2 linked regions of the Drosophila melanogaster genome follow. The gene in region 2 interacts genetically with the main gene of each other region. Each region holds a gene or a part of one and is shown on either strand. Other genes may lie near its edges.

Region 1 (4,906 bases), on a different chromosome or scaffold from region 2:
ATGTAGGGAATGATCTGCTCCTCGTCGACGGTCACGGAGAGGACCTGTCCCTTGCGATTGACGCCAATGATGCCACCACTTGCCTCATGCGGTGCGGTAACAAAGATCGTATCGGCCGATATACGATTCATGTATATGCACGTGGCCGTCTCCATGTCATACAGATGTATGTATCCATACTTGGTTATCAAGTAGATGGTGTCGTACTTGGCAGAGACTTGCATAGCCACAGGGAAATCATTTTGTGCTTCCGGCGGAAAGAAGACATCGACAGCCTTCTTGGCAAACGGCTGATTGCCGTTCGGCGGAGCACCAACTTCGATAATATGAAGCTTGCCCCCAGTGGCCGTACGAACTGCAAAGCAGAACAGCGTGGTCGGCTCCTTGTTGGCATCGATTTTAAACGTGGCAAAACTGGCCGCATGCCCCTCGATCGCCTGGGACACCTTACGCTCCACCGAATACAACTGCATGGCACCGGCAACGCGACTTGGCAGTGCCGAAATGCCGACCAAGAGTAGCCACTGCTGGGAGGCATTGCAGCGGTAGTTGATGATTTGACAACCGTTCAGCGATGAATGCCGGTCAAACATCTTTTGCGGCATCGAATCGCCCTCCATGGACCAATGGAACACACTCGTTTCTGTGACCAGAGCTAGCGTATTGAGGGAGATCCACTTCCAGAACACCACATCCTCGTTCATGGTATGCGCCTTCATCTTCGACTTCATCTCAATGTTGAAGATCTGCAACGTCTTTTGCGCTAAAAGAAATATTCTAAAGTTATACATGTTCAAAAATGCATTATCCCAGTCGACCGGAAAAAAACTTTGATCTCTTTCCTTACTATTTGATATTCAAGTTAAAGTTTAAGTGAGGTTTTAAGTTTTCTAGACACGTTGTAATAACAAGCGGACCTGTTTACTAAGCCTACGTTACTTTAAGCTAAAATCTGATCCTCTTCGGACATTCTGATCGACTGGACCATCGGTTTCAGTTACCTTTGAGCGCAATGACCTTGCTAGCTGGATTCATGATAGCCGAATCCGCTGAGATGGGACGCCGCGTGGGATTGGTGGCATCGTTCATGTCAATGATGACCACTTGGGCGGTATCATTCACCTTCTCCCGCACGCAAATAAACTTATCCGATTCCATCGTGAGCGTGCTGAATGAAAATGAATTGGCGTTGATCCCGACATTTGTGAGCTGTCCGTAGTGGAGATTGAAAATGTGTGTTAATTGATAAATCGAAAATCATAGCATACGCACTCATTACACAATATAATCATTCATTATTAATTATTGAACTGGCCTGGATTGACCCACATTTACTATTAAATATTCGCAATACTTTGCTTAAGTTTAGATGTAAATTTGTATTATAACTAGTTCTATAGAAAATACACTGTATACAGACTTGAATAGAAGGTATAGCAAAGTAGAAACTCGACCTAAGCCCCCATATTTTCTGTTTACACGTTGAATTAGAGCTGGAAACCGTGAAATTTTCATAAGAAAAGTGGGGAGCTTATGAATCGGATATAATCGTAGGTAATCGTGGCATATTGGTGGGTTGTACGTATGTGGATATGTAATGATGGTAGATCCAAAATATTTAATATTACTCACCTGTAAATGCTCCTGAAAGCGGATGGGCAGTGGTTGCGTCATCTTTACTACTACAGTGAGGTCTAGTTATTGACAGACCTTTACAACGTAAATGTATCTTTGCGAAAACAATGCCAATACGATGTTTTCTTGAATTGCACACTTGGTAACAGTTTGTATTTGATTTGTTTCGAGGATTTATTGTTGTTTAATTGCGTTCGAGTTTAGTCGGTTTCTGGTTTAAGATTCGGTTTCCATTGGAACGTTTAGCTGCACGAAAGACAAAAGATTTTGGAAAAACATGTAGTTATGGACAGCACTGATGCGGCAAGAATGAGGAAAAATCAAATTGTGGGCGTTATTTTATTGTTGATAGAAAGTGACAGCGTCACCGGATGAAAAAATGAAAGATAAAGGCCTATATGTATGTACATATGGATGTAAACGCCCTTAAAATAAAACACCGAGTCTCTTATTGTATCCCCAATCGCTTTTGTGCAAGAAAATATATAGACGAAATTATTTCCTACGATTAATCCTTTGTATCGGTATTTTTATTCGTTTTCTTGCGTTTTTGCACTTGCCGTTACGACGGGAAAATTACCAGCACTTTATTTTATTTGAGGTGAGCGAGGGAGAGAGAGAGAGAGTGAGAGCGAATCAAGAGAGAGAATTTGAAAAGAAAAGAGGCAGCATTATCATCAAAAATCGCTGCTCACCACAGAAAAAGTCAGCCATGTTGAGTTGCGCTTTGAACAATTAGTCACTGACTAATACATGTACAGCAATTTTGCTCTTGTTTTCCCTCCCCCTGTGTGTGCATGAAAATCGAAAATCGCATTTAAATATCACTGTTTTGCGCCTGATAACAATGGGACAATGCCATGAAATTGACGAAATTCGGTGTATATACATCAAATTGAGTAGCGGTAATTCCCAATTCACACGCACACAGCAGCACTCGCGCACACACACTCACAGATGAGCGCGCACACTTGCAGTGCCGCAATATGCCACATAAACAAGAACATAATTAGATAAACGGTAAATTAATCGGATGCTTTTACATCAAATAAACAAAATTTGTATGTATATATTGCATTTGCAAGCGAACACACACACGCACTTTAGCACTTTACATTTTTTCCCAATGAATCGAAAGATATTTGGAGCCCGTATGCTTACTGCAATTTAACAAAAATGTACGCTAAGTACTATCATACTCGAAATAATCACGTCGGTTTGTTGCTAGATGACGGGCACACACACTGAAGACAAACTGAGCTCTTATCAAGCTCTAACAAATGTAGTTTATTTTTCTTTTGTTTGACTAAATACTGACTGCAAGACAAGGTAGAGGTGTGAAAGTTATACAATTAATGCCGATATATACGGCAAATATGCAATTGCGTGGAGTGAAAAAACATCGATACCACATTCAACATTCGAATCGATATTTGTATCGCACGATCCTACTGTTACACGTATTTATTCATAATATTCGAATGTAATTATTATTTAGGTAAATGTAGTATAACTTTGTAAGGAACAACAAATTTATTTTATTTTATCAGCTTCATTTATATTTTGCCGATAACAAGTTTTTAGATCATAATACATACGTAAGGTTAACAGGTGTTATCGAGTGATCCAATTGGATATATTCTCTAATTGGAAATCTATTTTTTATAGCAATTTAATTTGGAATGTGAAGTTATTATACCCGTTACTCGTAGAGTAACAGAACACACCCCAGAAAAAATTATTAAATTTCACGTTTGCACTCACACTATCTGCGTAACGGGTATCTGATAGTCGGAGAACGGGACTAAAGCATTCTCTTTCGTTAATTTTTAAAAATATATATACATTAATTATCTTGCTTAAGTGCTGGATAATAAGTAGGCGATAATTTTAACATTGTTCCTATGCAATACTATTTTTAAGTAGGCGATGATTTTAACTTTGTTCTTTTTCAATACTATTTTTGACATTTACACTCAATGTGCTACAGAAACAACAACTTTAGGATTTGCTCCAAACATTTTTTTTATTGTTTTTATCATTTGGAAAACCGAGTCCCAACAATAAAATCTTAATCTATGAGGTAAGCAGCAGTATCCGATTTTGAAGCACCTTTTGGCGATAGAATCTATACCGTCTTGACTTGACTGATCAAGGGCATGACAAAGGATGGGGCAAGGAGCTAGACGAATATTGCGGGCGTCCCGCTCGCAGATTTGCGGTAGTCTTCGAACGGGCGAAGGGTCCAGCACCTCAGCAAGTTGTCGAAAAGGTACACATAATCATTTTTGTCCTGCAGGCACAAAAATTTGGAAATTCTTTTATTAAAAGCAAAAGCGATGTCACTCTCTACCATGAGCAATCCCTTGAGGACTTCTGAAAGTTTTTCATTATTGCAGTGGTAAAAAACCCAGCTGGATTGTCCGAATTTGACCAGTGCTCGATGCTTTGGCCGTTCGCAGTCTGCCGCATTCCTGCTAGGCGTCCCACCCGCCCAGGATTCCTCAACCCAGGGCCATTGGGAGAGGATCCGTCGCTAACAGAATAAGGTAAACTGATAAACTCCTCGTTTCCCAGGGAAATTCTTTTATTAATATAAGTTTCTTCTACAGTATATACAGACGTTCTTACGACTCGGTTTTGGGATCTAGGAAGCCCAGGATAAATGGCAGAATGCTGCGGACTCTGAGCTTTGTCAATCATATTCATTTTGATAACATAAAGATACCACTAAATTCTGTTTTTATTTTTCTTCGTTTTCATGTTTACCTAGATTATTTTAATATATATTTACATTGAAACGTTGTTGTCATTCAAATAATATACCCTTCTCTGTGGGAGCCAATAATAATGCAAGTTCCAATTTTTTATACCCGTTACTCGTAAGGGTAAGATTCGTTGAAACTGGCAGAAGGAAGCGTTTCCGACCATATAATCTATATATATATATATATTCTTGATCAGGAGAAATAGCCGAGTCGATCTGGTCATGTCCGTCTGTCCGTATGAACGTCGAGAACTATAAAAGCTAGAAGGTTGAGAGTCCCAAGTTGAGATCCATGTTGCCACGCCCACTCTAACGCCATAATACAGCCCCGCCAAGATTATCGCCGTGAGGTAACGATGTAATCGAAGGATTACAGCGGCCGCGACATGGGCGCGAACTTTGTGGTGCCGGCGATGGCAGGGCGACAGGATCACACGATTCCGCCGGACAGCTGCGGGGATACCTTGGTCGGAATGCGTGGATTCGTTACGATTTCCAGGACAT
Region 2 (4,933 bases):
AGAATGCTAATCAAATTGTTATCGATTTTGTTGCAAAAGCGAAGAAAGTTCTTTGAGAAGAATTTAGAGTAATGTGGTTCTCGACCATTAAGAATTTCAAATATATGTACATATATATTTATAGCTGATTAAGCATAAGATAATTACGTGCATGTGTACAAAGTAAGACCACGCGTTTTACGGCTTTGTTTGGAAAAAAGTAGATAAAACGCAAAGTACGTGTGTTACTATATTCACTATAAACACTTTATATTGTTGATAAATTTATTGAAAATAATATAATCGAGCAATAAATAAAAGAGGCAAACATATTCTTGATAAGCGAATACCAAATTTTATTAGGCTATCGATAAGACTAAGAAATCCAAATATATACCACTTTCTTGTTTCGAGATATAGTAATTTGATTAGATATCACTTTAAAAACAATTAATAAGGGCAATACTTTTATAACAACATATAACATAATGAGGCTTGTTAAGATATTTTTGTCTTTTCGGCAGTTAAGATAGCAATTAACCCCAGCTGGCCCCAGCAAAATCTCAGAAATACTGCTAAGTTAAGTGGCGTTTATTAACCAGTTTGTAGCTGAAGAATCGCTGTAGTTTCTGATATAACCACCGTTCTTTATGCGGTCCGACGGGTCTGCATTTATTTTTGTTTATTTTTCGTGTAAACAACGCACTTGACACATATCGAGAAGAGCCGGCTGTGGGGAAACTCCATCGAGAACCCGCCTCAAAACTGTATCTCACAGATAAACCCGTTCCGCAGGCATTCGAGCTATGCGAGAAATCGAGTTAATATTGGTATGAGGGGGGAATACTCATACTCGTAAATGGGCAGTGAAATTCATTGACCGATGATCGTAGTAACGATCCACTGCGAAAAAGGGCCGTTTGTCTGCCTCGTTTGTTTGTTTTCATTTGGCCAATGGAAGGCGAAATAATTTAATTAAATGTCGCGCAGTATAAGACGGGCGAAACAAAAAACACTACGCAAATGAAGTGCAAGAGTCAAGTAAAAGTGGGTGGTGGTGATGGTGACGGTCTGTTTTTGTTGTGGTGGTGGTCTGAACTTGAGCAAATTGAATGCCAGACAGAGGCAATGACGAAGCTTTCTTTGTGTTTCTGTGCACTTGACTTTCGGCAAAACGTCACCGCTTCGTTTTATTGCCAAAAAAATATACAGCTGCGCTTGTGTTGGTATCAAAACAAACAGAATGCCCAACGAGTTGCGAATCACTTTGTTCCAAAGGCTGCGAGCCTTGACGCCAGCCAGCGGTTCAATGAACGTATACACTCGTATAGCTAAGAGACGGAAAAAGCTCCCCAAACGCTCCAAACACCGAACTAAACTCGAAATGGGGAGCTGCAGCGTGTGCGTTGTTCGCCGATTGATATGCGCGGTGGTACTGATCAGTCTGCGATCACTCTCGTTATATCCAAACGCAATTAAATGCGAGCAAAATATTCCACATTCACGAGGCTATTTGACGTGCACTATTGTCAGACGTTTAGCATGTTTCCGCTAAGATGAAAAATATTGATGAAAGCCCGTCAGTAGCCCCACAATCTATGATTCCTAAATACATACTTTTTATCTCATCATTAAACAACGAGAAAGCTTTTCTATTTAAACCCTGCAGATTGAACTCAATTCTCTTACAATCTTGGGATTAACAAAACTTAAAAATTTAATACATATTTAAAAATTGAATTGAATTCGCAAAGATCTGAGGATTGGAAATTATAATTTTGGTTGTTTCGACTTAAGGAGAGAATACTGCAAACAAACATTGAAGATTGTACAACGAAAGACCATAATAATAATAAAATGTCTGTGTTAAACATCTGCTTATCTGGTATCTACGTTACTTTCGCAAATGAAATGTTTGCTTTTGGTTTATGGTTATCTTGAGATGTTTTTCTATTAGCACCTCAAACAGGTGGAAAGGGCTAGCCGCTGGTGACGAAGGTCACTGCTCGCTCGCTGATGCTGCCCACTGTGCCACACGATCGCCGGGCCCCTCCTCGATCCGCCTCGGCGTCCCCCATCACCTCCTCCATACCGCTGGCACTGTTGCATTTTCCAATGTTGCTGCATCTGTTGTAAATGCGGGCGTATATTAGGTATCATTTGTATATAATATATTAATGGCTACATGGGTGCTTTCTGTGGCTGTGTGCGTATGATAACGAGCCAGAAATGCGATTAGATTTCATTTGTGACACTAGAACTACTCGCACCTACACACACACGTATACGCACACGGACGCACTGATTGGGGGGCACACGAATGTGCGAAACTTCATTCATTACTCATCCGCCCCCCCTCGCAAACATAAACCCGTTTCCACCCACGCCCCTGGCAACCCTGGATCCACTATGACTAATCACTCGACCGGCTAACGGCAGTTATCAAATAAAAAAAAAAACAACAAAAAACAAAAGCCAAAGAAGCGCTATCAATAAGCATATGTTGTAAAAAACGGTTAGCGGGGAATTACGTTTAGACAAGGGGGATCTATAATTACGGAAAATTATTATTTAAGAAAAAGAAGCCCCAAAGAGAAAGAGAGACAGAAATATGTTTGTGGCCCCCTCCCACTTACTCTTTCGCTCACCTGCAATGTTTCTGTTATTGTTGGTTTTGTTGCTTCACTGCAGTTCGCCTTTGGTTGTGTGTGTGTGCGTGTGGGGGCTCCGCTCGGCTGTGTATGTGTGTGTCTGTGTGTGCGACTCCTCCTCCCCAACTAGTTTTCTTTTCTATATTTTACGACTTTCTTTTCTTTCTTTTTTCGGACTCGAATAGACACGGTCACAAGATGACGATGACGACAATGCGACGTCAACAAAGGGGGAAAATAGTATAGCTGCGCGCACGATATGGATATCCAAAAATCCTGGCACTCTATCGGGTTTATAGGGCTCTCGACTGCGATTGCGATGATATTGCAACTTATTTACCCTTTGCACTCTGCGCACAAAACACGAATTATTATTTCTTTCTCTGCTTTTCGCTTTGCACTAGTGGTGGACCAGAATTGATGGGCACTCGAAATATCGCGATATCGATTTATTCCTGAACCTATCGGTTCTTATCAGTTTGGAGTATAAGTATTTTAAAAATACTAGCTCACAGAAGAGCAAAATTATTCCTGTTATTTAATTATATTCATTTGCTTTTGGTATGTAAAATTTATAAAGGAATAACAATTTATCTTTGACCATCAACTACCGTCGTTCTTTTTATTTTTCTATATGTACAATAAATATTTAAGCTTTTAATTAGTAGAATGTTAAAATTATCTACAAGTTGTTTACATAGTAATTTAAATGTAACGCCGATATTTTTGAGTTGTCATCCCGATTTTTAAACATGATACTCGATGATATCGATAGCTGTGACAAATCACCTATCGATATCACTTGCATTCTCAAACTTACCAAACTGTGGTGAATTTGCTTGCGTGAAAGTGATAACTTTACTTCTCTAAAGTATTTACAGTTGTGCATGGATATTTTCAACATCAAGATTTAAAATTCTGTGTTCTTCTAAATATATTTTCTTATTGTTAAATTAGATAATCATTTGGTTTTTAGATTCTTGTTTTTGTGAGCTGCGAATATCTTAGTTCCCACCTCTACCGTTAGCGGTTACCCAAAATGGCGCCAACAGAACATTTTCAAAAACAAAAAAGGAACTTTGCACTTCCGTTTCAACCATTTTATGAAAAACAACGGCAAGAACATTGCCAAGTTCTTTAAGAAGAGAACAACAAACTCGACTTTTATTTATGATTTTATTTAGAATACCATTTTCATTTTCGTATAATTACACGCTAAAATCTATTTTCTCATTTTGTTAACGAACTGATAACAATATATTTTCTCGTTTTTTTTTATTCGTATTTTTTTCAGTTTGTGCATGTGCACGACTACGGCTGTGTTTGTGTGTGTGTGGTTTTGTGTGTTTGTATGTGAGTGAGTGCTTTTCGTTATTAACATTAGCTCGATGCGATTTGTTGTTGCTGTCGTTTAACTCTAAGTACCTACTTGTAGATGTTCAACGTTCATACGTGTATACAGTTATTAAATATATATAATGTGCATATGCAGTTGCATATTCGATATCGCCAACTTCCTGTTTCTATCGGTCTTGCTTTCGTTTTTTAATTTCACGGTTTGTTTCAATTTATTTTTTATGATCATACTAAACCAGCGGAAAATATATCACCCATTTCGATGTGTTTCAATGTATCAATGTATCAGCTCTAGATATTTAAGAGATTTTAAAATACATAATTTATATATTTGGATTGTTTTCTGCAAATAGTTTAAAATTCCGTGAAATTGAAAACCGAAAGAGTTCCGCTTGCCAACGCCAAAGCACACATACGCGAAATTGAGCCCCCAACAAATAAGCTTAAATCATAAGACTGTCCTCGTACGTTTGTCCCGAATGCAGGATTACATCAAAAACCCAGTAATCGTATCAAATTTTGCATAAAATCGACGAAAAAACTCAACAAAAAAGCGTTTGGTCTGACAAACTGTTCGATTTAGCGATGGCTTAAATAAAACATAAGAACTAAGTTAACTTAAGGCATACAAATCCGAAACTCGCTCCTTCCGCCGTTTGCATGCTGCTCCGTCCGCTCTCCATCGATTCCACCGCCTCCATCCCTCTGCGATTTACAGTAAAATAATGTGGTTATTTTCGGGGGATTCCCCCCGAGGAGCCAAACCCCCAGGCGGAGGACTCACTCCTCCGGCGGTTCCTCGGGAATCTGGAGGCTCTGCGCCGCGTGGGGATACTCCGCGTGCACTGAGTTAGAGTGCACCGACTCGGAGTCCTCCTCCAGCGCATTCGCCTTGCTCGGAGGCGGCGTCAGTGCATCACTGCCCACTGGAGGCTGCACCAGATTGG

What was found. Genes that interact genetically often act in the same process or in processes that back each other up.
Region 1: of lqf (region 2) and Chc, changing one enhances a phenotype caused by changing the other (phenotypic enhancement), as found in Drosophila melanogaster (2 studies listed by BioGRID).

What each region holds. Positions count from the first base shown.
Region 1 is NC_004354.4:15,832,491-15,837,396, forward strand, and holds the start of Chc (clathrin heavy chain), read right to left. Parts: upstream 3,001-4,906; 5' UTR 2,797-3,000; exon of another isoform or gene 2,738-2,796; intron 2,423-2,737; exon of another isoform or gene 2,331-2,422; intron 2,265-2,330; exon of another isoform or gene 2,142-2,264; intron 1,882-2,141; 5' UTR 1,675-1,881; coding exon 1,633-1,674; intron 1,210-1,632; coding exon 1,002-1,209; intron 764-1,001; coding exon 1-763. UniProt on the Drosophila melanogaster protein: Clathrin is the major protein of the polyhedral coat of coated pits and vesicles.
Region 2 is NT_037436.4:7,526,881-7,531,813, reverse strand, and holds the start of lqf (liquid facets), read right to left. Parts: upstream 3,035-4,933; 5' UTR 2,628-3,034; exon of another isoform or gene 2,616-2,627; intron 1-2,615. Other genes in the region: ltl (larval translucida), read right to left, coding at 4,767-4,933.